2 linked regions of the Notamacropus eugenii genome follow. The protein of the gene in region 1 interacts with the protein of each later gene in a biochemical or structural test. Links are inferred from orthologs where the notes say so. Each region holds a gene or a part of one and is shown on either strand. Other genes may lie near its edges.

Region 1 (16,568 bases):
TAGAAAAGCTCAAAAAGAATTTTCCAGAATCAAAGAGAGGTAGAACAAAAATTGGGAAAAGAAATGAAAGTGACACAAGAAAACTGTGAAAAAAGAGTGAACCACTTGGTGAAGGAAGCACAAAAAAATACTGAAGAAAAAAACTTAAAAAACAAAATAGGTCAAATGGTAAAAATCCAATTAAGAGAAGAATGCCTTGAAAGGCATAACTGGTCACATGGAAAAAGAAACAAAAATTCACTAAAGAAAAAAACTTCTTAAAAAGTAAAATTGGCCAAATGGAATTGAAGGTATAAAAGCTCAATGAAGAAAGTAATTTATTTAAGTTTTCAACATTCATTTCCACAAAATTTTGAGTTCCAAATTTTCTCCCCATTTCTCCCCTCTAACTACCCCAAAACACTCTGCCATCCTGCATGACAGACTGTTTCCCACAGCCTTCCAGGTCATCCTGGCCTGGAAATCTCCTCCATTCTGTTGTTCTATGGCTTCTGCTGCTCTAGAATTTGTAGAGAGTCTTTCTTTACAGGTATATTATGGGCTGTGGGGGTAGAGCCAGTGTATGTGCATCTTTCTACTCCACCCCCGAAAATAATTCTTTAAAAATTAGAACTGGGCAAGTGGAAGCTAATGACTCCATGAGACATTAAGAAACAAACAAAAAAAAATTATAAGAATGAAAAAACTGAAGAAAATGTGAAATACCTCACTGGAAAAACAACTGACCTGGAAAACAGATTGGGGAAAGATCATTTAAGAATTATTGGACTACCTGAAAGCTATCATTAAAAAAAGAGCCTAGATGTCTTTCAAGAAATTATCAAGGAAAATGCTATAATATTCTAGAACCAGTAGGTAAAAGAAAAATTGAAAGAATTCACCAATCATCTACTGAAAGAGATCCCAGAGCTCTTGGGTGAAGGAAAAAATACTGCAAGCAGCCAGAAATAAACAATTCAAATATTATGGAGCCACAGTCAGAATAATACAAGATTTAGTACCGTCTATATTAAAAGATAGGAGGGCTTGGAATGATATTCTGGAGGGCAAAGGAGCTAGGTTTACAATCAAGAATCATCTACCTAGCAAAAGTGAATATAAACCTTCAAGGGAAAAAATTCATATTCAAATGAAATAGAGGACTTTCAAGCATTCCTGATGAAAAGACTAGAAATAGCCAATTTCTCTTTCAAATACAAGACTCAAGAGATGCATTAAAAGGGTAAACAGGAAAGAAAAATCATAAGGAATTCAACAAGATTAAACTGTTTTACGTTCCTACGTAGGAAGATGATACTTGTAACTCCTAACTTACTCATTATTAGGGGCAATAAGAAAGATTATTCAAAGACAGAGGGCATTAGTGTGAGTTGAATATGATGGGATGATATTTAAAAAAATAAAATTAAGGGGTGAGAAAGAGAAATGCACTGGGAGAAGAGGAAAGAGACAGAATGGGGTAAATTATCTCAGATAAAAAAGGTACAAGAGCTGGAGGGGAAGCAAGGGAGTGGATAGCGCTTGAACCTTACTCTCATGGGAACTGGCTCAAAGAATTAATAACATACACCCTCAGGTATGTAAATTTATCTTACCCTACAGGAAAGTAGAAGGGGAAGGGGAAAAGAGAAGGCAGGGAGAGCTGATAGAAAGAAGGGAGGACTGGGGGAGATTATGGTCAAAAGCAAAACACTTTTGAGGATGGACAAGGTGGAGGTTAAGAGAGAGAGAGAGTGAGAGAGTGAGAGAGAAGGGTAAACAGGAAAGAAAAAAATAAGATGGAGGGAAATACACAAGTAGCCAGCTACCATAACTGTGAAAAAAACCTTTTACATCAAGTTTCCCTTAAAGAGGCCTCATTTCTCAAATATATAGAGAACTGAGTCAAATTTATAAAAATAAGAACCATTCCACAACTAATAAATAGCAAAGGATATGAACAGGTAAAGTAATCCAAGTTATCTAATCATATGAAAAAATGTTCTATATCAACATTGATTAGATTAATGCACATCAAAACTCTTAAGATACCACTCCACACAATTAGATTGGCTAATATGACAGAAAATGAAAATGACAAATGTTGGAGGGGATATAGGAAAACTGAGACAGTAATGTATTGTTGGTGAAGTTGTAAACTGATTCACCTATTCTGGAGAACAATTTAGAACTATGCCCAAAGGGCTATAAAATTGTGCATACTCTTTGATCCAACAATACCACTACTAGGTCTGTATCCCAAAGAGATTATAAAAAAGGGGAAAAGACCCCTATGTGTAAAAATATTTATAGTAGCTCTTTTTTGTGGTAGCAAAGAATTGGAAATTGAGGAAATGTCTATGCACTGGGGAATGGTTGCTCAAGCTGTGGTATATAAATGTAATGGAATACTATTATACTATAAGAAATGAAGAGCAGGAAGATTAGTAAAATAGAGGATTTTCAAGCATTCCTGATGAAAAGACCAGAACTGAATAGAAAATTTGACATTCAAACACCAGACTCAAGAGAAGCACAAAAAAAAAAAAAAAAAGTAAACACGAATGAGCAATCATAAAGGTTTCAACAATGTTAAACTGTTTACATTCCTACATGGGAAGATGATACATGTAACGACTAAAAACTTTATCATTATTAGGGCAGATAAAAGGAGTATACATAAACAACACAGAAAGGAGTCATTTATGTTGGAATTATCTCCAAAAAAAATGCAGGGGTAAGGAAGAGGGACACTAGGAGGAGGGAGGAGGGACAGGTAGAATGGGGAAAATTTTCCCAAATAAAAGAAGCCCCAAGGAAGGGATTTTACAGTGCTAAGGAAAATGGGGAGGATGGAGACAGGCTTGAACCTCACTCTCACTCGAATTAGTTCAAAGAGGGAAAAATATGCATACATTCTTTCTCTCAGCTATGTAGAGAAATATAACTTAATAAGGTAATAGAAGAAGAGGACAAGAAAAAAGAGAGAGGGATGATAAAAGGAAGGGCAGATTAAGAGAAGCATGGTTAGAAGCAAAATAAACTTTCTAGAAGAAGAAATAGAAAAAAATTGGATGGAGGGAAAAAAGCAAAATTAGAGCAAATAAAAAGGGATAATTACATTTTTCAAAAAGGTACCACAGACAAAAATGTTATATCAAAAAAATTTACAGCAAATTTCTGTGATAAAGACCTGAAATATATACTCAGTATAGAACTGAGCCATGAAAATAAGAGCCATTCCCCAATTAATAAATGGTCAAAGGATAGAAAAAGGGAGTTTCCAGAAAAAAAATCAAAGCTATCAAGTCAAACGGAAAAAAAAATGTTCTAAAGCAAATATTCTCTAAATCACCAGTGATCAAAAGGCAAATTTAAACAACTCTTGAGTTACCACTCACATATATTAGCAATTACAAATGCTAAAGGAAAAGTGGGAGGAATAGTGAACTGGTCTGAATAACAATTTAGAAGTAGGGTGAAAAGGCTATTAAAATGGCATACCTTTTGACCCAGCACTACCATTCCTAGGTATGTATTCTGAAAAGGAAAAAAGACCTAAATGTACAGAAATATTCACAGCAGCTCTTTTTGTGGTGGCAAAGCATTGTAAATGGAGGGAATGCTCATCAACTGAGGAATGGTTGAACAAGTTGTAGGGAATAATTGGAATACTCTATGCTAAGGGGAATGACAAGGAAGGTGATTTCAGAAAAACATGGCAAGACCTATATGAACTGATGCAAAGTCAAGTGAGAACTGGGAGATCATTCTGCACATTAACAGCAATGTTATAAATGATGATCAATTGTGAAAGACTTGGCTATTCTGATCAACACAACAATACAAAACAACTCCAAAGGACTCCTGATGAAAAAATGCTAACCATCTCCAGAGAAAGAACTGATGAATTCTAAGTGCAAATTAAAATACAATTTTCTCCCTCTGTTTTTCTTGCTTTTTAAAAGAACTATGGCTTAATATGGAAACGTTTTGCATGAATTCACATGTATAATTGACATATTGCTTACCTTTTCAACCGGTAGGTGGGGGGGGGGAGAATTTGAAACCCAAAATTTAAAAAGAAACTAATTGTAAATAAATAAGCTTTTAGAAATATTTTTAAAAGAAAACCAAATGAAGCAGTTTTGATCAAAAACGCTGCTCAGTTTATATTTCTGGCCTTTGCAATTTATAAATCACTCTAGGGCATCAACTAACTAAGTTTCCTATAGTCTACAAGAGGGGATGGCAATAAATATTTGTAGAGAACAGTCCCGCTTCTCCTAGTCTAACCTTGAAATGACTTTGAAGAACAGGTCTTTAAAAAGCCAACATATAATTTGAACACCACCACTAGACTTTTCACAAGCCTTTAAGAATTTCAAATACAGTTAACCAGCTTTACATCTATGGTAGTTCCTCCAAACCTAGCGTATCATTGTTTTCGTAAGATTTTTGCTACAAGTATCAACTGAGAAAAAGAAAGCTTATTCGCTCTAGTGAATTCTTCTAGGAATGGTCCTATTGGATTTCCTCTTAAGGATAGGTCATTCTCATTCAAAATGTTTTGATAGTTACACTGGTAGTTGAAATTGGACCACGTACAATACCACAAAATACTAATTGTCACGCAGTATTTTAAAATTTCCAGAAATTTTCAATGGCAAACTAGTCAAGCACTTGATTCTTTTACCACACAGCCTTTCCATTCTCTAAAATATGACTTGTTCAAAATTCTTCTAAAAAATCTCAAAGCTCTAATTAAAGTGAATTTTGTATTAATACTGTGCCCCTATTTCTTGTAAAGACCTTATTTTTCTGTTCAAGAAGGTACATGGATCTTTGAAGTCAGTTCTGAAAGTCTTTTGGACCCCTTTATAAAAATAAGGTGTTGAGTTTTTTCTAAAAGCTGTTACTTTTTCCTCTATAAATTTAAGCTTTCACCAGGAAGCACACATTGGATAAGCTCCAGTATCTGTGCTATTCAGTGTTTAAGGTACCCAAATAACAAAAAGGTCAAACGTTCACACTGACATATACAAAGTTCTAGCGGTTCTAGTTTACAGAACAACACTTTTGGTCCTTTTTAGGGTCTCTTTTCCTAGTATCTTGGTCACGAGCTGTATCTTACGTAGTCATCACTATTAAAAAAAAATAGTCCCTCCTGCCTAAGTATCCCAGATCAAACCCCACAGGTTCATTCAAAGGAAATCCGACTGATCCCTTGACCCAAACGTGAAAAAACCATCTGTAAGCATCCCCAGCATATATGGAAGTATGAGAACCAAAAACTATGGTCCCTAGCCTTCCTAAATCTTGCTGCACCTCACAGGAGCCCCCCGCTCCCTTCCCACCCACCCCCAAAAAGCAACTGCTTTTACACTTAAGAAGCAAAGTTCCACTTCCGCCAGTCAACAGATACCTGGGCCAGTCCACTGCCCTTCACTCCGCCCCACGTGAAACCTCACCACAGGGGTCCCTAAGAGTTTCCCCTCTCTCCTGGGGAAGGGGCGGCTGAGGGTGCCCCCTCCGTCAGGGGAGGGGCGGCTAAGGCTCCTTTGCTCCCAGGAGTAACAAAGTGATCCCGGCGAGTCCCGGGCCCCACCTGGAGCCCCTGCCCCAGGATCCCTAGGAGGCGGCCAGGGGGCGGGGACGTGGGGGGGCGTAGGACGGGGACCGTAAACCTGGAGCTCGGCCACGACGGCTCAGCCCCATCTCAGCCCGGGACGGCCCGCCCCATGCACCCCAACGACGGCCGCAAATACCCCCGTCGCAGGGGCCCCCTCCACCGGCCCGCACCTCCCGAGCGCGGGGGTAGGGGGTTGGGAAAGCCGTCCGAGGGCCAGGCCCCGCTCGCCGCCGCCGCCCCAGGCCAGGAGGGTCTCCCTCACCTTCGTACTGCAGATCCACCAGGACAAGCAGGAAGGGGAAGACCGAGCCCAGCCGGTTAGTCACCGACCCGAGGGACACCATGGCCGAGTGCGCTCGGGAGAAAGAGGCCGACGAAGAGAGAGTGCGGGAACTGACCAGCTCCCGCGGCCGCTGGAGCCGCTCGGGCCACGGCTGCTGACGGGAGTAGGGGGCGGGGCCGCGGACGCCGCTACGCCCCGGACCCCCGCCGCCGTCCAATCGCGTGCTTCCAGGGCTTCCTCTAAGCGGGCTCGCCTGGGTCGTGGTCGGCGCTGATAGGTCGCCGATGTTCTAGCCCCGCCCCTTCTCTGATAGGATAACGTGGAAGCACGAGACGCAGAGGCGTCCGCCAGCCCGAGCTGTCAGAGAACCCTAAGGCTGGCTCGGCGGGGAGGAGGAAAGAGGGAGGGACTGGGAGCGAGCGGGGAAGAGCCCGCGGGAACCCTGGAGGGTGAAGTTGTGAGGCGACGGCGGGGAGGGCGGGGCGGCGTCCGAAGGCGCATGCGCCTGGGGCGGCCTGGAAAGCTCCTGCTGTTGCTCCATCCTTCTTTGGCTCACGGGATGCGGCCTCCTTCTAGTCTGGCTTTTCCGGTGACGGTCGAGAAGTGAGCCCGAGAGCCCGAGCTGAGGAACCGCAGACTCGGAACTGGAAGGGGCCTGGGAGAGCCTACCGTCCACCCTCCGCCCCCGCCTCCCAGATAAGGAAATCCGCCACGAGGGGCTGACCCGCTCAGCCCGAAGGAGCACGTGTGCGGGGTGGGGTGGGGGTGGGGAGCGGCCCTCCTGGGCGGGGTGGTGCCGAGACACAACTACGGAACCCCGGAGTAACCGGAAGTCGGAGTACTTGATGGCGCTGGGAGAGGGAGGGTGCGGTGCTCCTGTGGAGTGACTGGATGTGATGGAAGTGGGAGGAAAGACCAGAAAAGAAACGCGGGCGGCCCCAGAGGGGGAACCCGGGAAAAGAGACGGGTTCGGGCGGGCTCCTCTAGTCCAACCTGCTTTTGCCAGGAAAGCTGGCGTAGAATCAGACCGTCCCCCCCCCCCCCCAAAAAAAGTCCTTGCATCCTTAGTAAGCGGGGCAGCCGAGAGAAATGGTAAAAGGGAGGGCACTGGGAAGTGGGACTGGGAACGAGCGTAAGAGTCTGCGCCTAGCTGATCCGAGCAGCGAAACTGACTGCAGTCTGTGTTCGTGTATGTATGTATGCATGTATGTGTAGTATGTGTATACGTATGTGGATGATGTATGTATATGGATGTGTAGACTACATAGTCTGACATAGGCAAGTTACATAGAAATATCGGTGCAAACGATACATATATATGTTTATATACACACACGTGTGGTTTGTACCGATACTTCTCATACCTGTGTTGTAAGTCCCACCTCTGGCGGATACCGCTCAGCATACAGCATATATGATGCGTGGCACAGAGTAGACGCTGTTATTAATTTGAATTAATCAATTATTAAATTGAATTACTGACTATGTAATCCTGGGTTTAACCTCTGGAACTAAGTTGCCGAGAAGGTACCCATCTCCATTGGAGTGTTTTTATTGGGAAGTGCTCTCTGCAAGTGAAATCGCAGATCTGAACTATATCCTATAAATCAGCTTTGTTTTGTTTATTTATTAACCAGTCAACTGACTGAGCTTGTATTATCTTCAAGATGGCAGTTTAATGATTGCTCACATTTATATAGCACCTACTATGTGCTAGACGCTGTGCTAACTGCTATACAAATATCTCATCCTCACAACAGGAAACTCAGACAAACATGCCCACCATCACACAGCTAGCAAACAGATCTGAACTCTGATCTTCCTCACCCCAGGCCAGGTGCTCTTCTATCCTCTCAATCCTAGCTACACCATCTAGCTGCCTCACTTAAAAAAAAAGTTAGAGAAATCCATGATTCGAAGCTATGAGTTGACACCCCTGAGTCATTAGTTTAGTGGTGGTAGAAAGTTAAAAGCATCAGAATGCTAGAGAACCTTCTCTTCTAAGGTGTCTGAGTCCATTTGATTTAAGTACATTGCACAAACCAAGTGACAGATGTACTTCAGGGTCAACAACTGTCAGATAATGAAGATACTAACCCAATGTGATGGTATGGCCAAAAGATGGAGAAAATATGGACTTTGTCATGAAGGGAACAAAAAAGGTTGTTATATCCTGCTTCTTTAATGCTTACTGCAGTTCTGGCATTAAGAAAGATGTAATAAAGTTGAAAGAAGTCCAAGGAGGGCACCTAAAATGATCAGTTTAGGGTTTGATCTTATTAGAATACTAAATAAGGGCTCTTCTATTAGGAACAAAAGTACAGGAGATGGAAGTCTGGATAAGGGGAAATTTGTTTACCAAATGTATTCGTCCTTCCTTGCCAAAGAAGATCATGCCATCAGAGAAATGATGACATCACTAGCACTTGACTTTGTTTTGAGTGAGGGAGGGCTGTTTTTACCAAATACTAGAATACTGGAACTAAGAACTTGCTTAAGTTTTAGTAAGCTAGTTAGTTTGGAAGCTTTGGAGTTAGTCATTAATATCTTCTGTTTTAGATTTAGCAGTAAATAATGGAAGCTTGTGTATCCTTATTTTTCATTTGTTCTCATTTATATATTTGGATATGTGTACTTGTAAACATGTAAAAAATACCAGGACAAATCATTATTGGTGGATTCTAGACAACATTTAAGAATGGTGTTTCTCTGCATTTGAAAATTCTACTCCATGCATATTACTGTCTGTCCAAGGCTTTGACTTTGACTTCATTGCAACACATGTGACTTATCACAAAACAAAATACCTAGGTGCTGTGGGAAAACAATTTTCTGGCATTTAAACTATTTACAAAAAGTAACATTTCAAAGTTGCCTTCACTGCAAGCTCACCTCGTATATACACACCTGTTGTGCTGTAGGTAGCTGTAGTCGTTGTTTATTTCCCAACTTTGAGTACTACTTTATTATCTAGGTAATAACTATGTAAGACTTGCTATCCAAATAAGTGTTGAGTATTAATGGATAATAAGGGTATAAAGTCATGAATGATGTGTTAATAATGAACTATCAAAGCAAACTAGTAATATTCAGAGGCAATTCTACATGAACAATGGCCTAGCATGGCATTGCATGTATTATCACACAATTTTAAGAGTTGGAAGGAACCTCTACAGCCAGAAACAGTGGAAGGGAGGGGCAGCCCTGCAGCCCATTCATCCACATTTGTCCAAGCCGTAGTCAGAAAGTGATCTCTACTATAACATCTGACAGCTTTGCTTGAAGACCTTCAGTATAGGGGAACACACTGTCTTCTGAGGCTGTGCATTCAACTTTTGGAGAACTTTAACATTTAAGAAGCTTTTTACCTGACATTGTTTAAATTTGCCTCTTTGTGACTTCTACCCGTTGCCCGTAGTTCTGTCTCCTAAGGCTGAGTAAAATAAATCTAATACCTTATGCACATGGGCCCTTAAAATACTGGAAGATAGAAGTTTTTTCTCCAAACTCAACTCCTTTTCCTTCAGCAAGCCCTCCCTCCTCTCCCACTCTCTTCTCCCTCTGTCCACATAAAGTGTCATACCGTTATTTGGGAGTGCTCTGCCCAAAAGGATATAAATTTTGATTGCTGAAACCTGAAATCTTGAAACCTGAATGTCCTGGGGTTTTCAGGGTAGATTTCTTTCTTAAGAACCATACCTTAAACCTACATCACTCTGGCTCTCATTGATTAGCCAACAGTAGGTCCCAGCCCAAGCCTGTCTTGGTTCTTGTTTGGACCCAGATGGCTGAGTGAGTGTAAATAGCAGTTGTTTCTCTTTTGGCCAGAAACCCTGAGGGTCTTCCCCTCCCAGATGGATTTTTTTTTTTTTGTTTGACTAGGTAAAAGATGTCATTCTTTGCCTCATTTCTTACCTAACCTTAATCACTAAATAGTCACTGCCTCAATCAAACTGAGAAAAGACCTTAGCTTAAAAAGGCCAAGGTGTCCCACTGCATCCAGTTCTGATCAATCTTGTCACTGGACCTAGATGGCTCGGGGAGAGAAAGTGAGGTTAGTGACTCTGAACAGCCCTTCCTCACTTAAATCCAATTCACTTCAAGAACGAAGGACAAAGACAACTACCTCACGTGGCACAGACTTAAGGCCCTTCACCATCATAGTTATCCTCTTCTGAACCGGCTCCAGCTTTCCAAATTACTTCCCAAACTGTGGCGCTCCAAACTGACCACAGTATTTCTAATGTGTTTTGGCCATGGCAGAACACAGAGGGGCTATCACTTGGTAGAAGCTATCACATCTAATACTGCAGCCCAAAATCAAATTACTTTATTGGCTGTCATAACACACAAGGCCAACGTATTGAGCTTATTTACAATCAGCTAAAACCACCAGAATATCCCCAAATTCCTATCATTGGAGACCTCAGCTATCTTGCTGTTGCAAAGCTGATTTGTAGAACCCAGGTAGAAGACTGCATTTTATCCCATTCCTTGGTAATCTCATTATTTTCTAATCAAGATTAAGTCAAGACCCGTTTTGGATCCTGATTCTGCCATTCACTGTGTCAGTTTTCCCTCCCAGCTGTTATCTGCAGATCTGATACAGTGTACCACTTTTGCTTTTATCCAAGTGAGCGATAAAATGTTAAACAATGGAAGGTTAAACCTCAATTGCTGGGGTACTCCAGTATATTGCCTAATTTATACTGAATCAATAAATGCTTTCTGCTTACATCTTTTCAAGGAGTTCCAAATCTATTGTTTATTCATCCAGCATATATCCCTCAATTATCTCCATAAGAAAGAAAATACTTTATCAAATGTATTTTCTCAAATTCAAATAAACTACAGTCTATCTGCTGCATTCCCCTTCTCTGCCAGTTAAGTAACCCTGCCAAAAAGAGGAATAAAGTTATTCTACCACTTAGATGTTCTTTATGGAGCCATGCTCACTCATTATAATCAGTTTCTTTAGATGTTGACTATCTAATATTTTACCCTAGAATTAAACAAATTGAGGCCAAGCTCACTCAGCTATACTTCTCAGGCTCGGTGCTCTAACCCTTTTTTAAAATCAGAATAGCACTTGAACTGTTCCAAACTTGAAACTTTCCTATTCTTAATTATCTTTCAAATATCAGTGACAGTAGCCTAGCAGGCACATCTGCCAGTACTTTCAGTAGCCAAAGATAGCATTCATTAGGACCAGGTGATGAATGAATCGAAGTCAACACCTATGTGGTACCTCTCTTGGCTAATTCCCCCCTTGCCATTTGTGGCTACTACAATGGTCATTTCAGGTGGCCAAGAAAACAGAAGCAAAATACTACCATTTTTTCTGCTGTCCCTAAGCAGCAGTCCTATATGTGGGTTCTCTTTTCCCCAACTAGTTAAAAAGAAACAAACAAAAAAAACCCCAAAAGCCTTTGCTGTCCTTTCTCGCCCCAGCTCATTCAAAGCTTTAGCATGATCGACACTGTTTTTTACAAAACTATGTGCTCATGTTAATCCCATTACCTGCACTCCATTCCTTCTTTTGTACATGTGTGTTTTTTTCCAAATTTATTTATGTATTTGTTTTCAGTTTTCAACAATCACTTCCATAACTTTCTCCACCTCCCTGAGATGGCATGCAACCTTATATGGGCTCTATACACTATATGTGTGTTAAGAACCTGAGTTGCTTGGTGAGTTCCCAGTGCACCCCCACTAGAATCTGTAAAGAAGTCCTCTTTTTTCCTCATAGGAACTGTTTATCCTTGCGTCTTCATAATTTTATTTTTAAGAGCTTCCTATCCCTTCTATGCTCTTATCCCTTCTAGTAAATCAACAATTATTCATTAATCTTCTACTGTGTTCCAGGTATTCAGCTAGGTGTTAGGGATACAAAAGCAAAAATGAAACATTCCCTGTCTCAAGGTCTTTGCTTCTGTTGGAAGAGACAATATATACATATTGAAGAATATATAGAATACAAGCTAGTTCAGGGAAGAAAAGTACTAGCAGATGGAGGAATCAAGAAAAGCTTTATTTAGAAGAAGGCACTTGACCTGTCTTGAAGAAAGCAAGGGATTCTGTCAAGTGGGGAGGAGAAGGAGGAAGTGAATGTCAGGCCTCAGGGACAGAAAATGCAGAGCCCAATGGGGAAGGCCATCTTGTAAGAAACAGCAAGAAGGCCATGTTTTCTATACTGTAGAGAATGGGAAGGGGAATAAAATGTATAATGAAGACAGGTAAAGTTGGTTGGCAACAGGTTATAAAGGGCTTTAAAAGACAAACAGGAGTTTTTCTTTTATCCTAACATCAATAGAGAATTGCTGAAGTTTACTGAGTAGGGGAGTGAAGTGGTCATACTTTTACCAAAGAAAGTTCATTTTGGGAGCTGTGTGGAGAATAGATTGGAGTAGGGGAGAAATTTTAGGCAGAGAGACCAAAGCAGGCCTTTGCAAGAATCTGTATGAAAGGTGATTGAGGGCCTGAACTCAGGTAGTAATTGTGTGTATTAATGAGGAATTGAATGTTAGAGATATTATGAAAATAGAAATGATAAGATTTGACAACTGACTGAATATTCATGTGGGGTAAAGAAGCCAAAGATAACACCAACTTTGGAACATGGAAGCCTAAAAGGAAGAAGGGTATGTTTGGGTATGAGGTTTGGAGTTTTGAGACATTTTGAGTTTTTGATAGCTATGGGACATCCATTTGAAATGTGCAGTAATTAGCTGTAAATGAAGCTTCTCTTGAAGTTCAGGAGAGAGATTAGAACTGGAGATAGATAGATAGATAGATAGATAGATAGATAGATAGATAGATAGATAGATAGATAGATAGATCTGGCAATCATCAGCTTAATCATATGCTAATCAAACCAATTGGAATCATTGAAGTCAACAAATGAGAAAGTTTAGAAAAGGAAGAATTTTAGTCTGTAAAAGTCTATCAGTCCTTCCTCTTATGTCTTTCAAAAATCTGTCTTCCCAAAATCTAGGATATATGTGTTCTCTATCACAAACTTTAGGAAGGAATGGTCACTTCCCCTTAGAGTTCTTATTTCCATCCTAGAAACCAATTCCTTTGTGCTACTGAAAATCATCCAAAATAGAATTGCACTTTGTTGGTTCCTTTACCTTTTGAAGGATGACATTATTATTAGTGCAAGTCAAGAAAGCTTTGCTTTCATCAGTGAGAACTGAAGCAGATGACAGGATAACTGAATCTCCCCATCACTATTATCTCATGACTGTTCCAGTTTTGTGCCCATTCTTGCTACACTGAAAGTCACCACCCTGATTCAGGTCCCTATCACATCCTACCAAGACTATTGAAATGGCCTCTGAATTGTTCTCCCTGCCTCATCCCTTCCCACTCCAGTCTATCTTCCACACAGCTTCCAAAGTGACCTTCCTTAAGTGAAAGTCTGAGCTTTTCACTCCCCTACTCAATAATCCATAGTGTCTCTCTGTTGCCTCTGGGATAAAACATAAAACTGTTTCAAAGCCCATCACAACATGGCCACAACCAATACAGATCCATTATATACAATGCTCTCCTTCCTACTCTTTATAGTTAAGCCCAGCTGACTTTGATTTTCCTCACACACAACAAACCCAGCATCTCTCTAGGTGCCGTTGCAGTAACAATCCCACCTAGCTAGAATGTATCTTCCTCACCCACCCAACCTACCACATAGAATTCCTTACTTTCTTCAAGTCTCAGCCTAGGTTGAAACCATTACTGTTTCCCTGAGGACAAGTGCCCTTCCTTCCAAAACTCCCTTATATTTGTTTTGTTTTCATTCTGCATATACTATGTTATCTCCCATAATAGATTGTAAATTCCTTGAAGACATATCCTCAGTACCTAGCACATGCCTAACCACTTAATAAATGCTTTTGACTTATTGATTAGTAGCTATGGTAGGGCAGTTAGGTGGTGCAGTGGATAGAGCACCAGTGCAGGAGTCTGGAAGACCTGAGTTCAAATCTTACCTCAGACATTTGACACTCACTAGCTGTGTGACCTTGTGCAAGTCACTTAACCCTAGTTACCTCATGCTGGGTCATCCCCAGTCATTTGACGTATATCTGGTCACAGATGGCCCTGGAGGAGAAGTGAGGCTGGTGACCTACACAGCCCTCTCTCACTCAAAACAAAGTCAAGTGCAAGTCATGTCATCATTTCTCTGATGGCATAGTCTTCTTCGGCAACAAAGGACGAACACATTTAGTAGCTATGGTGCTAGACTTGAAGTCAGAGATAGGAAATAGCAGTATGTTCCTTGGAACTCATGTTCCTTCCTTGATCTTCAGGTCCTCATCTATTAAATGGAAATCATTAGAGCATCTACTTCATGGGATTGCTGTGAACTAATAAATATAAAGTACTTTGCAAACCTTGCAAAAAAGTGCAAAACACTATATTAATGTAACCTATTGTCATTATTTTTCTATGTAACATTTTTTTCCATATGACATATCTGCAGACAATCTGGCATGGTGGAAATAGTGCTAAATTTAGATTTTAGAGACCTAGGTTCACATCCTGCCTCAAACGCTAACTATATGTCCATGAACAAGTTACTTAAATTGTCAGAACCTATATCTGTTAATTTTTTAAATGCATTTCAAATTAAATTAATCTGTAAAATGGGGCAAATAATACTTGCTCCACTTATCTTACAGGCTTATTGTAAGGAAAGCACTTTGTAAAACTTAAAGTTCTGTATGGATGTACATTACATGTGTCTTTTGTAGGAAGAAACAAAACACAATCCATAATCACATGAGGCTTCAGTTTTTTCATTTGTAAAATATAGGAGTTGGACTTGATCATCTCTAAGGTCCCTTCTAAATCTAAATCCTAGGATCTTGTAGGAGTAATGACAACTATACAGATAAATATGATACAAACCAGAATATGGCAGGGCAGTGATAAAGCAGAAAGTGTGCTGAATTTGGAGTCAAAGAATTTGGCTTCAAATCCCAGCTCTGACTGCTGGGCACCTTGTACGAGCTGTGTGACTTTTGGCAAATCACTTAACTACTCTGGGACCCGAGCTACATTATCTGGAAAATGAGGAGATTGGACCTTTCCAACTCTGAGACTGCACTGTTAGAGACTCTATAGCCATTAAAATGTATCATTTTTATGTGAAACAGAAAAGCTGTGATTCTTCCCCTTCTCCATATCTGTCTTAGAATTATACTAGCCCTCAGAACATAGGGTCATCTGCCACTGAATTCTCCCAGTTATAATACCAAATATTTGTGTTTGTGGACTCTTAAAGTTAAGTATTCTTTTCTAAATTCTGCAGAGCAAAAAAAAAATTGTCTAGCTGTGTGAGCTATGTTTGCCTCATTTTCTGCATCTGTGAAATGGAGATAATTAGCACCTACCTCTCAGGGTTGTTGTGACATTCAGTTGAGATAGCTGTTATAAAGCACTTAACAGTGCCCGGTACAGGGGAAGGTAAATGAAATAAATATCAACTATTATTATTGATGCCATTCAGTCATTTTCAGTTGTGTCCAACTCTTCATGACCCTTTTTTCCCTTTGGGCAGGGGAGGGGAAACTCTTGGCAGAGATATAGGAGTAGTTGCCATTTCCCTCTCCACCTTATTTTACAGGTGAGGCAACTGAGGCAAACAGGGTTAAGTGACTTTTCCAGGGTCACACAGCTAGGAAGTATCTGAAGCTGGATTTGAACTCTGGAAGATGAGTCTCCCTAATTCCAAACCCAGCACTGTACCCACTGTACCACCTAGCTGCCTAAACTGGATGAAGACAGGAGGTCTTGAATTTGGAATTACCAACCCCCCAAAAAATTTTATCCGAATCATAGATTAGATTTTTTTAAAAAGTTAAATAGCACAGGACCAATCACAGATCCTGAGCGTACTTCACTTAAGTCTTTCTTACAAGTTGGCATCTGAATATTACTGAGAACATTGGGTCCGACGTTCAACTAGTTCTGTATCTATCTAATTATACTACAGTCTAGACCACATCTCTCCATCTTTTCCATAAGAATAGCATGAAGGACTGTCAGGTGCTTTACAACTCTGTAATAAACTATAATATCTCTCTAATTTAGTAATCTTGTCAAAAAAGAAAAACAGTCTGATTTCTTTTTTTGGGGGTGGAGGGAGGGATGGATATTTCCTAATCATCTCTTAAATAATGCATTCTAAAATGTTGCTTAGACTCAATATAAAGCTCACTGTCATGTAGTTTACAGAACCCATCCCCTTATCAAGCTCAAAACAATATCTGCCCTTCTCCACTCCTTCAGCACCTTTCTTGTTCTCTCTGAACTTTTAAAAATCACTGACAGTAATTCAGCAATTACATTTACCATTTTCCCAAGTACTCATGTCATTTCTCTGGACTGGATAACTTCAACTCATCAGGTCAGATAGGTTCTCTCATTGTTTTTCCTTACTTAACATGTCTGTCAAATCCCTATTAGCCCTTTTGTTTTGTCTTTTCTAGTCCAAAGGTCATTCCATTTGAAAGATAACCACAAAATCACAGAATTTCAGAGTTGGAAGAGACCAAAGCAGCTATCTCTTTCAATTCATATCCATGCACAGGCCAACAAGTATTCATCCAGCATTTGTTTGAACACCTCCACAAAAAAGAAATCACCACCTTAGGAGGCAGTTAA
Region 2 (16,469 bases), on another chromosome or scaffold:
TATTTAAAGAGGTAATAAACAAATGCTAGATCATTCATTCATTCATTAAACTATTTAGTACTTGGGAGTCATCAGCCTCCTGCAACTCACCATTTAGGGAATAAAGGGAAGGGAATAAAGAAAAATACAAACACAACAATAAAATATGGAACAGAAGAAATAAATAAAATACCAGACAATCCCACAAAGGGAGAAAATCCAATAAAGAATATAAAAGTTAATCAAAAAAACCCCAACTACATACAACTCATCTATCTATACCTGTCGACATCCATTTAAAAGCTTCCCTATACTCCACTTATTCAAAAAAGTGGTGAGTAATAGCCCTGAAAAAGGAAACTGTCCATTCAGCAAATATTTGTAGAAACAGCTTCCAGGCATTAATCAATCACAGGTTTAGCAAAGAAAGGAAGACATCCAAGAGAGAGAAGACAGGATGTCATACTATCTGAAAATCACATCTGAAATGCAGTCTTGAGAAAGAAGGAAAGATCTTCAGGTTGCTCTAGAGGGAGGAAGGAGGTCTCTGTTTTCACTCCCATTAGTTAGACACATTTGAAAGCTCCAGGTACTTTTTACTTTACAAACTCAGAAACTTCTGATTAATTTACAATATTCACTAAGAATGCCCATCAACAGTAAGAAAAAGACATTTTCCTCATCATTTTCTTTATCATTTTAGCAGTTTTTTCAGGCCTTTCTCTTTTCATTGTATAGTCTTTTCTTTAGTGATTTCATTAACTTCAGTGGGTTTAATTACCTTTATATAGATTCCAAAATTTTAATATCTAGTAATAATTTCTGTCCTATAGTTAATTTTGCATCCTAACTGCTGACTTGACTTCTTTACTGGGGTCTTTATTTTGTTCTGGGAATGCAGAGGCAGAAATGAAACAACCTTTGCTCTTCAGAACCTAAATTTCACAGGAGACACAAATGCTGAAATACATATAAAGCAACGGAACTAAAATCAAGTTTCAGCGAACAAGAAGACCCTTTCTAATGATCAGAGCTGCCTCACAATGAAGCTACTACATCATGAGCTCCCTCCCTCTCTTTGGAAGTAGTCAAGTAAAGACTGGGTAAACACACATCCACAATGACATAGGGAAAAAAAAACAAACTTGTAACCCCAGTGCTCAGCATGATGCCTCACACACAGTAAGTGCTTAATAAATACTGATTGACTAAGATACCCTCTCAAGGGACTTCAGAATTCTAATGTTCCTCTGAATGGAGTGAGAGGTGAGGTTTGCATATATCATCTCATTTGGTCTTCATAATAACCCTGTGAGGTAGATGCTATTATCCTTATTTTGGCAGATGGGTAAACTAAACCTGAAAAAGGTTACATGATTTGCCCAAAAAGTAAATGTCTAATGCAGTATTTAAATTCAAGTCTTCCTGACTTGAATCTACCACTATCCTACCCAACTCCCTCCAAGACAATTCATTAGGATACGTGAAGAAGATAGAATATCTATTTTTTATCTTGAAAAAGAAAAATTAAGCCTTATTAATTGACAGGCCAACATACTGGCACCCTCCCTCAGTCACGCGTCACAAGAGGAAGGCTGAGTTCCACAATGGTGAGGGATTGAGAACAGTACACTCCATCACTCACTTCTAGCACACTATGATGTATTACAGTTTACACGGAGCTGGGTAAGTGATTTATGGGTTACATAATCTAGTTTAAACTAAACTGACCCTCCCAAAATGGAAAAGTGGCTTAAACAGATTCCTGCAAGGAAACTAGATTAGAGACAATTCTACTACCAGGATCACAAGTGAACAAGAAAATGGCAGAGTTGACAGCCTTCCTACATCTGGTACAAGTCCTTTAGATATATTACAATGTAAAAACAATGTTAAACTAAATTGATCTGACAAGAAGTCAGCCAAAACATTTAAACTTATCAAAACTATGTGAAATATGGATTTATATCTACTACTGTTAAGAATAAACCTTGCTCTAAATGTGTATTTTGTGTTATGAGAATTTAGCTAGCAACAGTACAAAGACCTCATAATGAGGTAGGCATTCAAAATGCTTTTGTTGACAAAAATAGTTGAAATGTAATTTTCTAACCTATTTAAAAATTTATGTTTGCTTAAAAAAAGAAAGAAAAGAAAAGCAACATCTTCCAATTAGTTTCCAAGAACAACTGATTTAATATCATGGAGGATGGCCATATATTAGACAAATTTCAATTAAAAGCATTATGACTGCTGGACAGGACTGAAAAATTATTATCAAGATTTTAGTGAGCACAGCTAACAATGTACTTCTTCCGTTTCAATCTATGCATCTTTTGATAAAAGTTTCAGTTAAAATAGCTAATAAAATCAAGTAAAAATAAACTGAACTTAGTACCAGTCCTTCAGATTACTATCAAAATAATGAGCTATGATTTTCAAATATAAAACTTATTCAATCGTATTGCTCTTACTAAAAATATTACAAATATTTTCGTACAAGTGAAGTTTTTGTTTCATTAATAAAAAAAAGTTTTTAAATGCCATTTATTTCATCTAGCTCAACCTTTTTAATTTCAATTTTAAGGTATGTTTTTAATGTACATCCATAGCACAGTATATTTAAATACTTTACAAATATAAATATAGGTAAATACAGAGACACATGGAAAGATCTACATGAACTGATGCAAAGTAAAGTCAGCAGATTCAACGAAACAATATACAACAAAGACTATAACAATGAAAATGGAAAAAACCACATACACATATCAAAAGTGAATGTAATAAAACTATAAAGAACAAGCATGGCTCCAAAGAAGAAACAGGAGAAGACACTTCTACCCAACCTCTCTGCAGAGGTGGGAGGTCTATAAATGTTGCACATTGCACATATTCTCAGATTTTTTTCAATGTACTGATCAGTTATGTTAATTTTTTTTCTCTTCTCTTTCATTTATTGTCTTGAAAAAGTACCAGTTGTTATATGGGATGGTTCTCCAGGAGGGGAAGGGAGCCTGGGGTGATGTTTGGTGATGTAAAAAATAAAAGACATTAATAAAACTTACTTTAAAAATATACACACTTGTATATTTCCTTATGTGTGTATACTTCCTTACGTGTGAAATGGTTTGGAAGCCACTAGCAGCTAGATGGCACGGTGGATAGATACAGCAAGAGGCGTGCAGTCAGAAAGATCTGAGTTCAAATTCTGCTTTAGACCACCCATTAGCTCTGTAACCCTGGGCAAGTCACTTAATATTGTTTGCCTCAGTTTCCTCATCTGTAAAATGGGCTGGAGAAGGAAATGGCAAACCACCACATCAGCTTTGCCAAGAAAACCCCAAATTGGGTCACAAAGAATCAGACAGGACTGAGCAACAACAACAATGGCCTTGCAATCACTGATAGAAGACCAGGCCATTTACCATAGGCCAGATATAGAGCTGGAAAGGGCCTCAGAGTGAGTGACCTCTAACCCAACTCCCACCTATTTTTTCCTTTTTTTAAACAAACGAAGAACTAAGATCCAGGAATGTTAATTTCCCAAGTTCACACAGGGAAGAAGTGGCAAAGGCAGATTTTTGAACCCAGGTCTTCAAATAAAGATCCTGTATTCAGGCCTTTGCATCACATCCTCTGTCAGGGGGAAGCAAACAGTAAAAGGGAGTAATATGGATGTGCACTTTGCCCAACTTTGGGAGCGTAGATGGAGGCTGAAAGAGACAAGCAGGAAGATAGATAATTCAGTTTGGTTAAATTCAAAACAATTGCATTATGTACAAACTGTGCAAAGAACAGGTGATACAAGGATGGAAATCACTGTCTCTGCCCACCAGTTTATAATCTAGTAGGGGAAGATAAGACATTGTACAAAATCAAGGAAATCACACCAAGCAAAATAGCATAGAGGGAAAAGGGAAGAAGGCCTGGACATGGCCTTAGGGAAGACTCAAGATTTGTGGGAATGACCTGCATGAAGGCCCAGCAAAGAAGACTGAGGAACAATTAGGTAAGAAGACCAGAAAATCTAGAGAGAAGAGAGTAAAAAAGAAAAGAGAGTGACTGAGCATGTCAAAGGCTGTAGAGAGGTTAAAAAAGGAAAAGGATTAAGAAGTCTTAGATCTGGACATTAAAAAGTCATTAGTAACTTTGGAGAGAGCAGTTTCATGTTGAATGATGAGACTGGAAGCCAATTAGGAAGAGAAAAGATTAGGAGAGAAATTAGGAGAGAAAAGGAAGCAGAAGCACTGGTTAGAGTCAGCCTTTTCAAATTTAGCCACAAATGAGATGTGATAAGAGGACAGATATGGGACAAGAAGGACCAGAGACAGATCAAGTGAGGGTTCTTTGAGGAGGAGGAGACTTGTGTATCTTTATTGGCGGGAGGGAAGTAAATAGTACAGAGGGAGAAACTGAAGATCAGGGAGAGAGTAGGAATAAAGGGGACAATCTAGGGAAGAAGGGATGGAATGGGACATCATGCATATTAAGACTGTATGAGAAGGGATCACCTCCTCATTTGAGGCAAGTGAAGGAGATAATGGCAGAAGGCATCTGAATGATGTCAAATGAGGAGGCAGAAGAGAGTACCCTTAAGGAATGGTCTCTATTTTTTCCAGTGAACATTGAGGTTACATTCTCAATCTGAGAGAGTGGGGAGATGGGAGCCAAGAAAAGTTTCAAGAGAGATAAAAAGGTGTGGGAAAGCCATTGTGGTAATTTATAAGTGCTGGGGACACAAAGAAAGGCAAAAAAAAAAAAAAAAGAGCCCCTGATCTTGGGGAGCTCAGAGTCTAATGTGGGAGACAACCTGCAAACAATAAAAAGACAAGATAAACTGGGGGAAATCGCAGAGAGAAGACCATCAGATTAAGGACTGGGAAGGCTTAGTGCAGAAGGTGGGTCTTTAGTTGAGATCTGAAAGAAGCCAGAGAAGTTGTACCTGTCCAAATGGTAGCTCAGGCCTTCCTCACCTACTCACTAGCCTATGGCAATAGCTTTCTAATTATTCTTAAGGCTTCAAAAGTCTCTCCCCAGTCCAACAGATCCTCATTCAAACTCCAGTAACTCACTATTAGTTCCGGATTTTTCAAAACCTAACACCCTCCTATCTTTCCAGTCTTCTTACACTTTATTCCCTGCCACACACTCTTCAATTCAGTGACACCACTCTCCTTGAGACACTGTCTTTCAGCTCCAAGTATTTCTCTGGCTGTCTTCCATGACTGAAACGTTCTCTCTCCTCACCTACGCTTCTTGGCTTCCTTCAAGTTCCAACTAAAATTCCAACTTCTATAGGAAGCCCTTCCCAACCCCTTCCCTCTCTTAATTACCCCCATTTTATCCTGGATATAGCTCATGTGTACATGTTTGTTTGCCCCATCAGATTGTAAGCTCCTTGAAGGCGGCACCGTCTTTTGCCTCTTTTTGTAACCTTAGCACTTAGCACAATGCCTGGCACATAGTAGGAGCTTAATAAATGTTTACTGACTGAAATATAACATCCTATGTTAAATGTTCTCCCTTCTGACTTCCACCTCTTAGTTTCCTTGGCTTCAAGACAGCTCAAAACCACCTTCTGCAGATGGTCTTCTGGCCCCAAGAGCTGCCACAGCCTTCCATTTACTCTGCACATACCTATTTACATTTTGTCCTACCCATTAGAATGTATACTACTTGAAGACAGAGACTTTATTAAATTAATAAATGCTTCTTGACTAACTAAAGCCAGATTGCAGAGGACTATGAATACCAGAACAAATCTGTTATCTTTTATCCCATAGGCAATGAAAAGCAGGTAAGTAAGAAAACGGGGCACATAACCTTCACAATGTAAGAAAATAGAAAGGGGACTAAATTATGAGGCAGAAAACTTGAGTTTTAAACCTGCTCTTGGACAAATGGCCATTCCATGCCTCAGTTTCCTTCTCTGTAAAATGCTGGGTTGAACAAGATGATCTCTATTCCCTTTCAAGTTCTTGTGGTCTGTTTTTTTTGTTGTTGTTGTTTGTTTATTCTTTAATTAAGTAAATATATTAAATGTTTATCATTTGCAAGATCCAGGTCCAGATACTGGGGAAGACACAAATCTCAAAAAACATAAACATAGTCTGACAAGGTAAAAAAAAAAATCACACACAGAGATGACCACACACGTATGGGAGAGGTCCACTGCAAAGTGCTGTGTAGAGGGGAAGAGAGGGAGAGATCAAAAAAGCATTCCGGCAGGAGTCGGCCCATGTATTCCTTGCATAGACATCTATGAAGTGCCTACTCCGGCTAAAGCCGGCAATGGAGGATACAAAAAAATTTTAGGTGACATTCCCTACTTTCAAGAAGCTTACATTTGAGGAAAGGGGTTAACAAAATTTTATATATGTGTGTGCATGTACGTACCTATATAGAGATATATACACACGTACATACATACCCACACATATATGTATGCATACATAACACAGAACAATACTAAACATATACTTATGTGTACCACGCATTACATCTATGTTACATGCCTCTACGCATATACCTATTTTACCACAGAGTGTAATGCAGGCAAGAGACATCCAAAGGGTGGGGTAGATATGCTGGGCAAGTATTGTCATCTAAGCCTCACAATAACTTTAAGAGACACCTGTGATTACTCCCAACATTTCCTACACGAGGGGAAACTGAGGCAATCAGAGGCAAAGCCGCTTGCCAGGGTCATCCAACTAGTAAGTGTCTACGGTAGAATCTGAATTCAGATCTTCCTGGTTCCTGATCCAGTGTCTATCCCCCAGCCACCCGGTCCAACCCTGCCTTTTAAAACAGGAAAATAAGGCTTAACTAGCCCCTTTACCCTAGGCATAAGCAGAGGCCTCTGCCAGTCAGGGCCCTCATTCTGCCCCCTGACCTCGACACCTCCCTACTCTGCAAACCCAAAGGGACGTGTCCGTCGGTCCGGTACTTTCACGTCGTGGGCTGGCCCAAGGCCGGCCCTTCCCATCTCGGGTGGGCACCGGGCAGACCCCGGTGTTTCCCTCGAGGGCAAGCCGCTCGCTCCCCCCGCTCTCCTTCGGGCCTACTCGTCTGCACGTGGTCTCCCCCACTGGGCCGGGAGCCCTCGGGGGGCGGGGAGTGTTCTTTTACCACCAGCCCCCCCTTCCCATCCCCCCGGCGCTTCACAAGCACAGAGCCCGGCACACAGCAGGCGCCTAACGCGCGAGCTGCCCCCGTCTCAGGGGAGGGCGCACTGAAGGAAGCCCCTCTTGTGTCCGCGCCCGAGGGAGGCCTGACGAGCGGGGCCGGGGCTGCGCAGCCCCTTCCCCGGGGCGCACGTGCCCGTCCCGGGACGCCTACAGGGAATACCGCCCTTCTCGGCTTTCCTGCCCGGGTCGTTCCGAGCGGCCGGGGTCGGCCGGGGTCGGCGCCTGCGCACTGCCCCCTCCCCCTCCGTCCCGGACGGGGGACAGCTCGCGCCCCGAGGGGGCCCGGCCTCGCGCCTGGAAGGGGCGTCTGCCCTCTGGCCCCGGAGCCCAGAGCGAGGGGCGCCGAGCGGCCGCCGCGGGGGCACTCACCGGGCCGGGTCCCGCGGGAACCTGAAGAAGGCCAGGTCCGACTGCGTGCTCTTCCGCGTGCAGTTCGGGGCCGCACAGAAGTTCGGCATCGTCGCCCGTCCAGCCGGCCGGGCCCCCTCCCCCTGCCCCCCGCCGGCGGCCTCCCGGCCCCCGGGGAGGCCGGCCCGGCTGGGCTCGGGGGGAAGGAGGAGGAGGAGGGGAGGGAAGAAGAGGAAGGGAGGGAGGGCGAGAGGAGGTGGAGGAGGAGGAGGGGCGCCGCGGGCCGAGGCCGGGCTGGGGACGCAGCTCCACAGTGCTGTGAGCGGCCGGGAGGATTTACCGCCGCCGCCGACGGCTCTAGCCCGCCCGTCCGCCCGGGACGCTGCCGCCTCCTTCCCACAATGCACCCTGCCTCCCTCCCCCTCGCTGCTGCCGGGGGCTCTCTTCCCTTCTCCTTCCTCTCCTCCCCGCCTTTTCTCCGGGACTTCAGTCCTGGGAGCACGCGCAGTGAGGGCCGGGCCGGGCCGACCGCGAGCGGAGCGAGGAAGGGCGGCGTCTGGGGGCGAGAGGCGGTGGCGGCGCGCAGGCGCGGGGAGCCGAGCCGCCGGAGGGAGGCGGAGGCGGGGCGGGGAGGGAAAGCGGAGAGTGAGCGCGCGCCGCATCCTCCCCACTTAGCGCAGGGAGCGCCTTGGCTCGCTGTGGGGCAGATCCAGGCTGGGCTGCGCGGCCTTGCGGTCTGCGGAGACCCCGCTTCGTTCCGCCGCGTCGGAGCTGACCAAACCAACGTGGGAATAAGGCCGGGCGGGAGACCCTCTGTTTGTTCGTTCAGGGGACTGGCCAGAGCCCGAAAGCGAGATCTGCCCCCTTAGCGAGCCCCGGAGGTCCGGTCGTGACTGTGGCGTTGGCCCCTCCGGTACCTAATCCCCAGGAGAACAGCGGCGCCGCAGAGGCCCCGGGGACCGGCTGGAGAAGTCACAGATGCTAGAAGCCGCCCTTCCCAGGCTGGCCGCCGCTCGTGTGCCCGCAGCCGCGGTGGGCAGGCGCGGGCCTCGTCCCTAGAGCTCCCCTGAGAGAAGGGCAAGTGACAGGTGGCAGGCAGCGACATTTCACACGTAGCGCGGAGCTCAGTCCCCGAGACGAGGCCCGTTAAAAGCCTACGGGCACGAAGAAGGCTTGGTGGAAGGAGAGGAGGTGATCGTGCCATCAGCTGCCAGGACCAGAGGAAGCATTTAGAATGGCATTCGATGGATGCTTAGCCGTGAGCGTGATGATAAAGAAACTTATTTAGAAAACGAAAAAAAAATGATTACCTAGATTGTACCTGGCGTTTTGAAAAGGGAGCAGAAGCTAGAAAGATACTCTTTTTATAATTCAAAGAAATAGGTAGAAAATGCATTTTGGAAGGAGAAAACAACTTGTGGAAAATGGTATTTCATCTGTGACTGTCAGAGATACGCTTCTGCCTGCTCAGCTTTCCCTTTTCCACCACTCAGCCAATGAATGTTATAGTCCTTGTCACCAGTATGCTCTGGGCAAGGCACAGTCCCTTCAGGACCAGCCTTTGCTTCGTGAGATGAACACAAAGGTCTAGAAAGCTTGGATAGCAAGTTTCCCCAGGATCAATGTCTTCTCTTTGCTACTGGGTTAGAGCTATCTTTTTTGTGCCCTGCTCATGCTCCTTCAGTTCCTTTGGAGGCTGACTTTTGTCTGTTTTGGGGGCGGGGTTGCTTATGATTACACGCCTCATCCTGGTCCTGACATTCATGACTGTTTTAATGTCAAACATACCATTGTCTGGTTTTTACATGCTTGAGATGTCTACTGCTTACCGGTCTCTGATTCATTACCACTTTATCATTTCTGGTGGCCCTGATGCCCAGGCCAGTGTTGCCTATGAACTAATATGATAGCATTCTGAGACTATCCCTCAGCCCTTGACTATGAAGCACTTTGAAGGTCTGCGTATCCAAATTATTCCAGGTTCTGTAGTATAAAACTCATCTCTCAAAACCAAGCTTACCTTTGTATTGTCTTAAAAGTACCATCTTCACTCTTCCCTTTCTACAAATTTTAGGGGCATCTAGGTGGCACAGCGAATAAAGAGTCAGGAGGACCTGAGTTCAAATGTGGCCTCAGACACTTGACACTTGCTAGTTGTGTGACCCTGGGCAAGTCACTTAACCCTGACTGCCTGCCCCCCTGTAATGTTAATGTAAGGTTAATGGTGAGTACAGGGAAGAGTTAAAGATCTTCCCCAATCATTAATAGGCCTCAATACCTTTTGTTAATTTCTGTTGAGGCCCTGAGTCAGAGGGTTGTGTTCTCCAGTGCTGAAAAATGCATAAATACTCTGAGGTGAGGTTTTACTTTGGGGCTTACTCATTGGAAGTGTTTGTTTGGCCAGACTAGACTCTGGGAAGCCACTACGGAGCCCCCCAGCTTTGAAAACCCAGATATTGGTGCTTTTCTCTCTGGTAACTATGTATTTAATGGTCAGACAGTTGGATCTGTCTGTTGATTTGTGATGTATGTATTACTTATAGTCAGCCTACATACTTCATTGCTATTAAGAGAACTAGAGGAGAAGGAAGGCCCCTGGCACCCTGAGTGGAGTATTTCTGGGAGAACTTGGATAAGAGCTGTAATGGGAAGAAAAGATATGGAGGGATTGAGATCTGAACTAATTAAACAACATGAGTGAGATCACAGATCTAATTGAAGTATTAAAATACATTTTTATAAAATAAAAAATGCAGATCCTTCAGTAAATTAATCCTTTTACAAATTTGTAAAGGATCAGGGCAGAAGAATACTTGAATATTACAACTCTTATGGTTAATAAATGAATGATTTAGAGAAAGATTCTAATGTATAGTCAGACAGTCAGTAAACATTTAAGTGCCTGCTGGGGCAGCTAGATGGTACAGCAGATAGAGCACCAGTACAGGAGTCAGGAGGACCTGAGTTCAAATCTCACCTCAAACACTTGACACTAAGTGACTTAGGCAAGTCACTTAACCCCAATTGCCTCATCCTGGGTCATCGCCAGTCATCCTGATGAATATCTGGTCACTGGATTCAGATGGCTCTGGAAGAGAAGTGAAGCTAGTGACCTGCATGGCCCTCCCTTACTCAAAACAAAGTCAAGGGCAAGTCATGTTATTATTTCTCTGAGGCATGGTCTTCTTTGGCAATGAAGGATGAACACAATTGCTTATGGTCAGACAGTTGGAAGCCCTGTCTGTTGGTCTTTATTTCTCTGCTTGTATTTTATCTGAAATTCAGGATACTTTTTCCCCTGAACTAAGTGAATGATATATGTGCTTGATTAAAGTAGATTGTTGACCCCTCAAAAGTTACTTTCCTTTCAGAAAAGCAGAGCTAAGAACCTGTACAGCAGGCCCTCCTCTGTAGGATGGGGTTCCCCCCCGCAAAATTTCTAAAACAAACAAAACTGGGAATCTATTATTGAATTTTCCCTTTCAGACTTGCCATTTGAGAAAAGCTGGTTCAGCCTCAGTCTCTATCCATGCACTGAAATTGCACTTAGCTGAACCAATGGCTATATTTTAATAGTCCATGTGAGAGAAAAAGAGGAGCTGAAATAGGTTGGTAGTTGACATAAGGGGATGGATGGATGGATGAATGGATGGATGGATGGATGGATGGATGGATGGATGGATGGATGGATGGATGTGAGAGCCATTGGAGAAAGAGAATTAAAAAAGACAATAATTGATTGCCAAGATCTAAGTCTATAAATCAGCATCCAGCTCTAAGACTATGAACCTATAATATATACTGAGAAAGAAAATGTTATAAAAACAAAAATATAGTAATTAAATGTAGATTGTTTCAGAGCAAGTTTGATTATTTTGATCTTAAGATTTAAACCTTGGTTGGTTGGTTGTTGTCTTTTATTCTTGAAGAGGACCAAAATGACATCATTATGTCAGAGTTGAGATACAGTGATAGATATATAGGTAGGTAGGTAGGTAGGTAGGTAGGTAGGTAGGTAGGTAGGTAGGTAGATAGATAGATAGATTAGATAGATAGATAGATAGACAGACAGACAGACAGACAGACAGACAGACTGTGGCTGATCAGACCTATATAAACTCAGAAGGCCCTACCGTTAGTCAAGCACAAATAATAAACCTTAGAGAGACACCATGAGTGGACAATCAATGGAGTCCAGAATTAAATAAGAGGAGGAAGATGGACATGAGCACCAAAGGGAAAGAGCTCAACCCTAAACTTCTCCCTGAAATTAAGGCCTATCTTTTTTAGTAACAATATTTTACAGATGGTATTATATGACCAACTGTGGAATACTACAGTCTCTATAGAATTAAGATTGAGTATTGCTATCTCTCAGAGGGTAGTAGAAAGGTGCATAGTGGATAGGAAAAGACTTGAGTGGATAATTAGGAGCTAGGGAGAAGGAATCAGAGTAAAAGATATCAAAGAAATATACGATCAAAAGATTATGACTGGTCATGTGGCAAGATCAAGGGAAAAATCAGTGGATGGCCCACATTCCCTATACTGGTAACTACACAATTCAAGAGAAATTAAGAATGTTGTGTATACCCACTGTGAATGAACTTATGGGGACAGGTACATAGGGATGCATTGTTATCTACATGATTGTAAGTAAGATTCATATCTATGGAATCACAGATCCATCTGAATATTTTGCTACTTATTCCCAAGTTTATTATGAGGCTCCAATGTGAATTTATGTAAAATAATTTACAAATCTTAAAGCACTATACAAATGGGAGTAGTCAATATGTTCAAAATGGAAGAGACGAAGTCTTTAAACTATAAACTACTGATTTTTTTTATTTCAATTCCAGGCAAAGTCCTAGAATATATTAATAAAGGGATGGTTTGTGGGCATTTAGGAAAGGGATGTGATGATCAGCGAGGGTTTGACTTAATCAGGACAGGTTATGTCAGACTAACTTAATTTCTTTATACAACCAAACCAAAGAAATAAAGTGGTAGATCAGAGAAATGTCACAGGCAAAAACATACTATACTTAGATTTCAGTAAGGCATCTGACAAAGTCTCTCATGCTGTCCTTGTGATAAAGATGGAGAAAGATGGGTCCAGGGTTGGGGAGCCTGTGGCCTTGGGGCCAAATGTGGCCCTCTAGGTCATCAAGTGCAACCTTTTACTTAATCCAAACTTACAGAACAAGTCCCCTTAATAAAAGAATTTGTATTGTAAAACGTGAACTTAATCAAAAGGCTGTACCCAAGGACTTAGAAGGCCACATGTGGTTTTGAGGCCCCAAGTTCCCCACCCCTGGCACTAGACAATAATACGATTAGGTGGGTTTGGATCTAGTTACTGTATTTAAAGAATAAGTGTTAATTGATATTCAAAAAGATTGATAATAGAGTGCCACACACCTCCATAAATCCCCTAGGTTTTGTTCTTTAAAATCTGAGTATTTTGGTGCACTTGTTAATCCATATAAGTGAATAGTATGATATCATATTTCCACTTGACAAATGTAAAATCTGTAACGTGAGCCAAGGAAAATAGAAACAGAAGACGTTGAGCTTGTGTGGTTTGTCCTTCATTCTCAAAGAGGACCATGACATCGGGTAGTTGATGATATGACTTTCAATTGATTTTCACTTAAATGGAGGGCTGTGCAAGGTCACCAGCCTCACTTTCTCTTCCAGAGCCATCAGAGTCCAGTGATCAGATATCTATTAAGACAACTAGAGATGATCCAGGATGCAATGGGAGACTTTGGTCCTTTTAAGCTAAGGTCCCTGAGTCAGGCAATGCCCATTCAGTGAATAGGTCTCTTTAAACTGTAAGTCAAAGCAGCCAAGGGATAAAGATAATATGTACAATTACCATTATTGTCTCCTGGCAAGACAAGAGGAGAAAGGTGGAACTGCGTATTTTAAAAGACTGATTGACATCCTGAAGTCAAAATTTAACAACAGGAACACTTTAAGAGAAACTGACACCTCTATAATGCCTGCTTTAATGTGTACTTTTGGCTTGGTAATAAAATACAACAGATTAAGAAGGCATTCAAACAAAAAACATACAACGTTAAAGAAACACAGGCTTCATTACCCCAAAGAAGCTAAAGAAAGATGAGCCCTTCCTTGTCAGGAAGGAAAAAGAGAATTAACAGATAAACCCAGGGCCCACGATAAACTGATTAAAAATTTATAGAAATACCTTTAGACCAAACAGATCTTACTTCATAAAGTAATAGTAAAGGCTGACAACAGGTATTTACTATTAAATTTGTTGAATATAATTGAATGTGATTTGGCTCCAGATAGAGCCTATGAAATGGCTTAAGATTTCAGAGTAAAATCAAAATTCTCCTTAGGTGACATCTCCAATAACTCCATGCTCAATAACTCATTTTTGCAGGTTACAAAAATATAGCATGACACCCCGGACAGCTAGAATTATACACCAGAACCTCACTCTCCTTTAGGTAACAGATCTTCATACTACAAATACAAATCCCAAAATATCCTTGAGAATTCAACAGACTGCACTGGAACATGAGCATTATTATAGACAAAATCAACTGCTGCCCACAATCATCTGCTCAGCATTCATCCATAATAATTTTAGAACAATATTCTAAGTAGACATTGCTATACTGACTACTCATAACCTACAAACTACACAGAGTGAAAAGCTTTCAAAATATAGAAACCTAACAGAAGACATTAAAACTAAGTGGGAATAAAACAATGTATATGTCATTCCAGTCTTCTTATACCCTACTTCCCACCACATACTCTTGCATCCAGGGACACTGGCCTCCTGGCTGTTATACAAACAAAACAATCTGTGTCTCAGCTCTGGGCATTTTCTCTGGCTGTCCTCCATGCCTGAAACTCTCTCTCTTCTCCTCTCAGACTACTGACCTCCCTGGTTCTCTTTAAATCCCGACTGAAATACTACCTTCTGTAGGAGGCTTTCTCTAACCCCTATTAATCCCAATGTTTTCTATCTTTTAATTATTTCCTATTTATCCTGTTTATAGCTTGTTTTGTATATGTTTATTTGCATGTTGTTTTCCTCATTTGATTGTAAGCTCCTTGAGAGAAGGGACTATCTTTTGCTTCTTTTTCTATCCCCAGTATTTAACAAAGTGCTTGCTACATATTAAGCATATAATAAATGTTTATTGATTGACTCGTTCTTGTTTTCACTGCTACTAGAGTAGTCCTGAGGATACTTTAAGTTAATAAGATTATATTCAATAGTTTTAATCAACTACAAAGTAGTCATTTTATCCATCTGTATAATAGTCTACAGATCATTAAACATAAAAGAGTAACAGTAGAATAACGACTTGTGTCTGAATCATTCTAGACAAAATTCATTAAAAAAAACATAAGCTAATAACAGCAATAATCCTTTCAGTGGCCAACCCACCAACTATGCTGTGAGAAATGAGCAGTTGCAAAGTAGGAGAATACCAGAAATGGTGTACCTTAAGGGGAACAGAGTAGCTGTGAAGACATTTCAGGAACCTTAAAATGCTGGCAAATTAGACTCTGGAAATACCACTGATTGAATTAGCATCTTGAATGTGATGCAGTTGCTATTAAGAGTCAAAGAAAGGTGGATCAAGAGGGTGAATTAGGTGCAGCCCAGCTGAACTTTCTCAATGTTCTTCTCCAAACAATTTAAAAATAATGCCTCATCTCAAATTTTGGAGTGGCAGAGCCAACAAAATGTTGGGTAAGACATTTTTCTTGCCTAAGAAAATTTAAGAGGTTAGAAGGAGAATTTTATTACACTGGGGTGGGGTCTGTCCCGAGCCCACATAGGCCTCAGCAGTAACAACGGGGGCAACAGCAACTTTGAGAGCTTTCAACTCAGAGACAATAAGGGAGTCAGAAAGAGATTACAGGGGACCCTTTGCTCTTTCCGAGTACAGTTGGTGCTGTTTGGCAACTCTTATTGCACAAACACAGTTCCAGGGCAGTTTGGGTTGGAGAGGGGAGCTGGTGATCAGTCCCAAAGGAGTGGGAGCCCTTTTTGCAATTCCAAGGCAAAGATGAGTATTACCATGTCCAGCTATAGGAGAGCAGGAACTCTTCCTTGGCAAAGACCAGAGAGTAGACCAGGAGACCATTGACCATACCTTTCCCAGGATCACATCAGCCTAGAAGTACCCAAAACTCGCATACACCCAAAACAAGCTCTGAAAAGAGTAGCATGAAAAAACCTGAAGTTTGGCACAGGGTCATCCCATCCCTAGGTAAACAGAGCTCAACTTTAACATAAAGTTCAAAGTCAAGAAATAACTGGGGGGAAAAAAGAGGAAACAGCAAAAAATTTAATCACAAAAAGCTACTATGGTGGCAAGAAAGGCCAAGACATAAACACAGAAGAAAACAACAATGTGAAAACAGCTACCAAAAGAAGCCTCAAAGAAAAATGCTAACTGGACTCAAACTCAACAAGAATTTCTGGAAGATTTAAACAAAATGTAAGAATGGTAAAGGAAAAATTGGGAAAAGAAATAAAAGGGGTGCAAGAAAATTATGAGAAGAGAATAAATAGCTTGGTAAAAGAGGCACAAAGCAGTACTGAAGGAAATAACACCTAAAAAAACAAGATTGGCATAATGGTAAAAGAGGCACAAAAATTCAGTAAAAAAAACAGTTCCTTAAAAAAGCAGAAGTGGGCTGGGAACGTGCTCCAGGGCCCTCAGGGGCATGATATCCACCCCTTTCCCCTCTACGTGCCTTTGGCACCTTCCTGGCAGTCTACACAGTGGCAGCTCTCAGGGCTCTTGGGGCTCCCTGGCTGGACTGGGTGGCCATGGACATCAAGAGGTGGTAGGTTATGCTGGAGCTGCAGAACAAGAAGCTGGGGTAGGTGAAGGTTCTAGTCTTGGATAACTCCTTCTCAGATGATGAGAAGATTGG

The links.
Region 2: the proteins of DNAJC3 (region 1) and THAP12 form a complex in vitro, tested with the Homo sapiens proteins (2 studies listed by BioGRID). The link is inferred for Notamacropus eugenii from reciprocal best matches to the Homo sapiens genes DNAJC3 and THAP12.

What each region holds. Positions count from the first base shown.
Region 1 is NC_092877.1:232,123,606-232,140,173, forward strand, and holds the start of DNAJC3 (dnaJ homolog subfamily C member 3), read right to left. Parts: upstream 6,129-16,568; 5' UTR 5,956-6,128; coding exon 5,874-5,955; intron 1-5,873. UniProt on the Homo sapiens protein: Involved in the unfolded protein response (UPR) during endoplasmic reticulum (ER) stress.
Region 2 is NC_092876.1:127,767,888-127,784,356, reverse strand, and holds the start of THAP12 (52 kDa repressor of the inhibitor of the protein kinase), read right to left. Parts: upstream 7,863-16,469; 5' UTR 7,631-7,862; coding exon 7,542-7,630; intron 1-7,541. UniProt on the Homo sapiens protein: Upstream regulator of interferon-induced serine/threonine protein kinase R (PKR). May block the PKR-inhibitory function of DNAJC3, resulting in restoration of kinase activity and suppression of cell growth.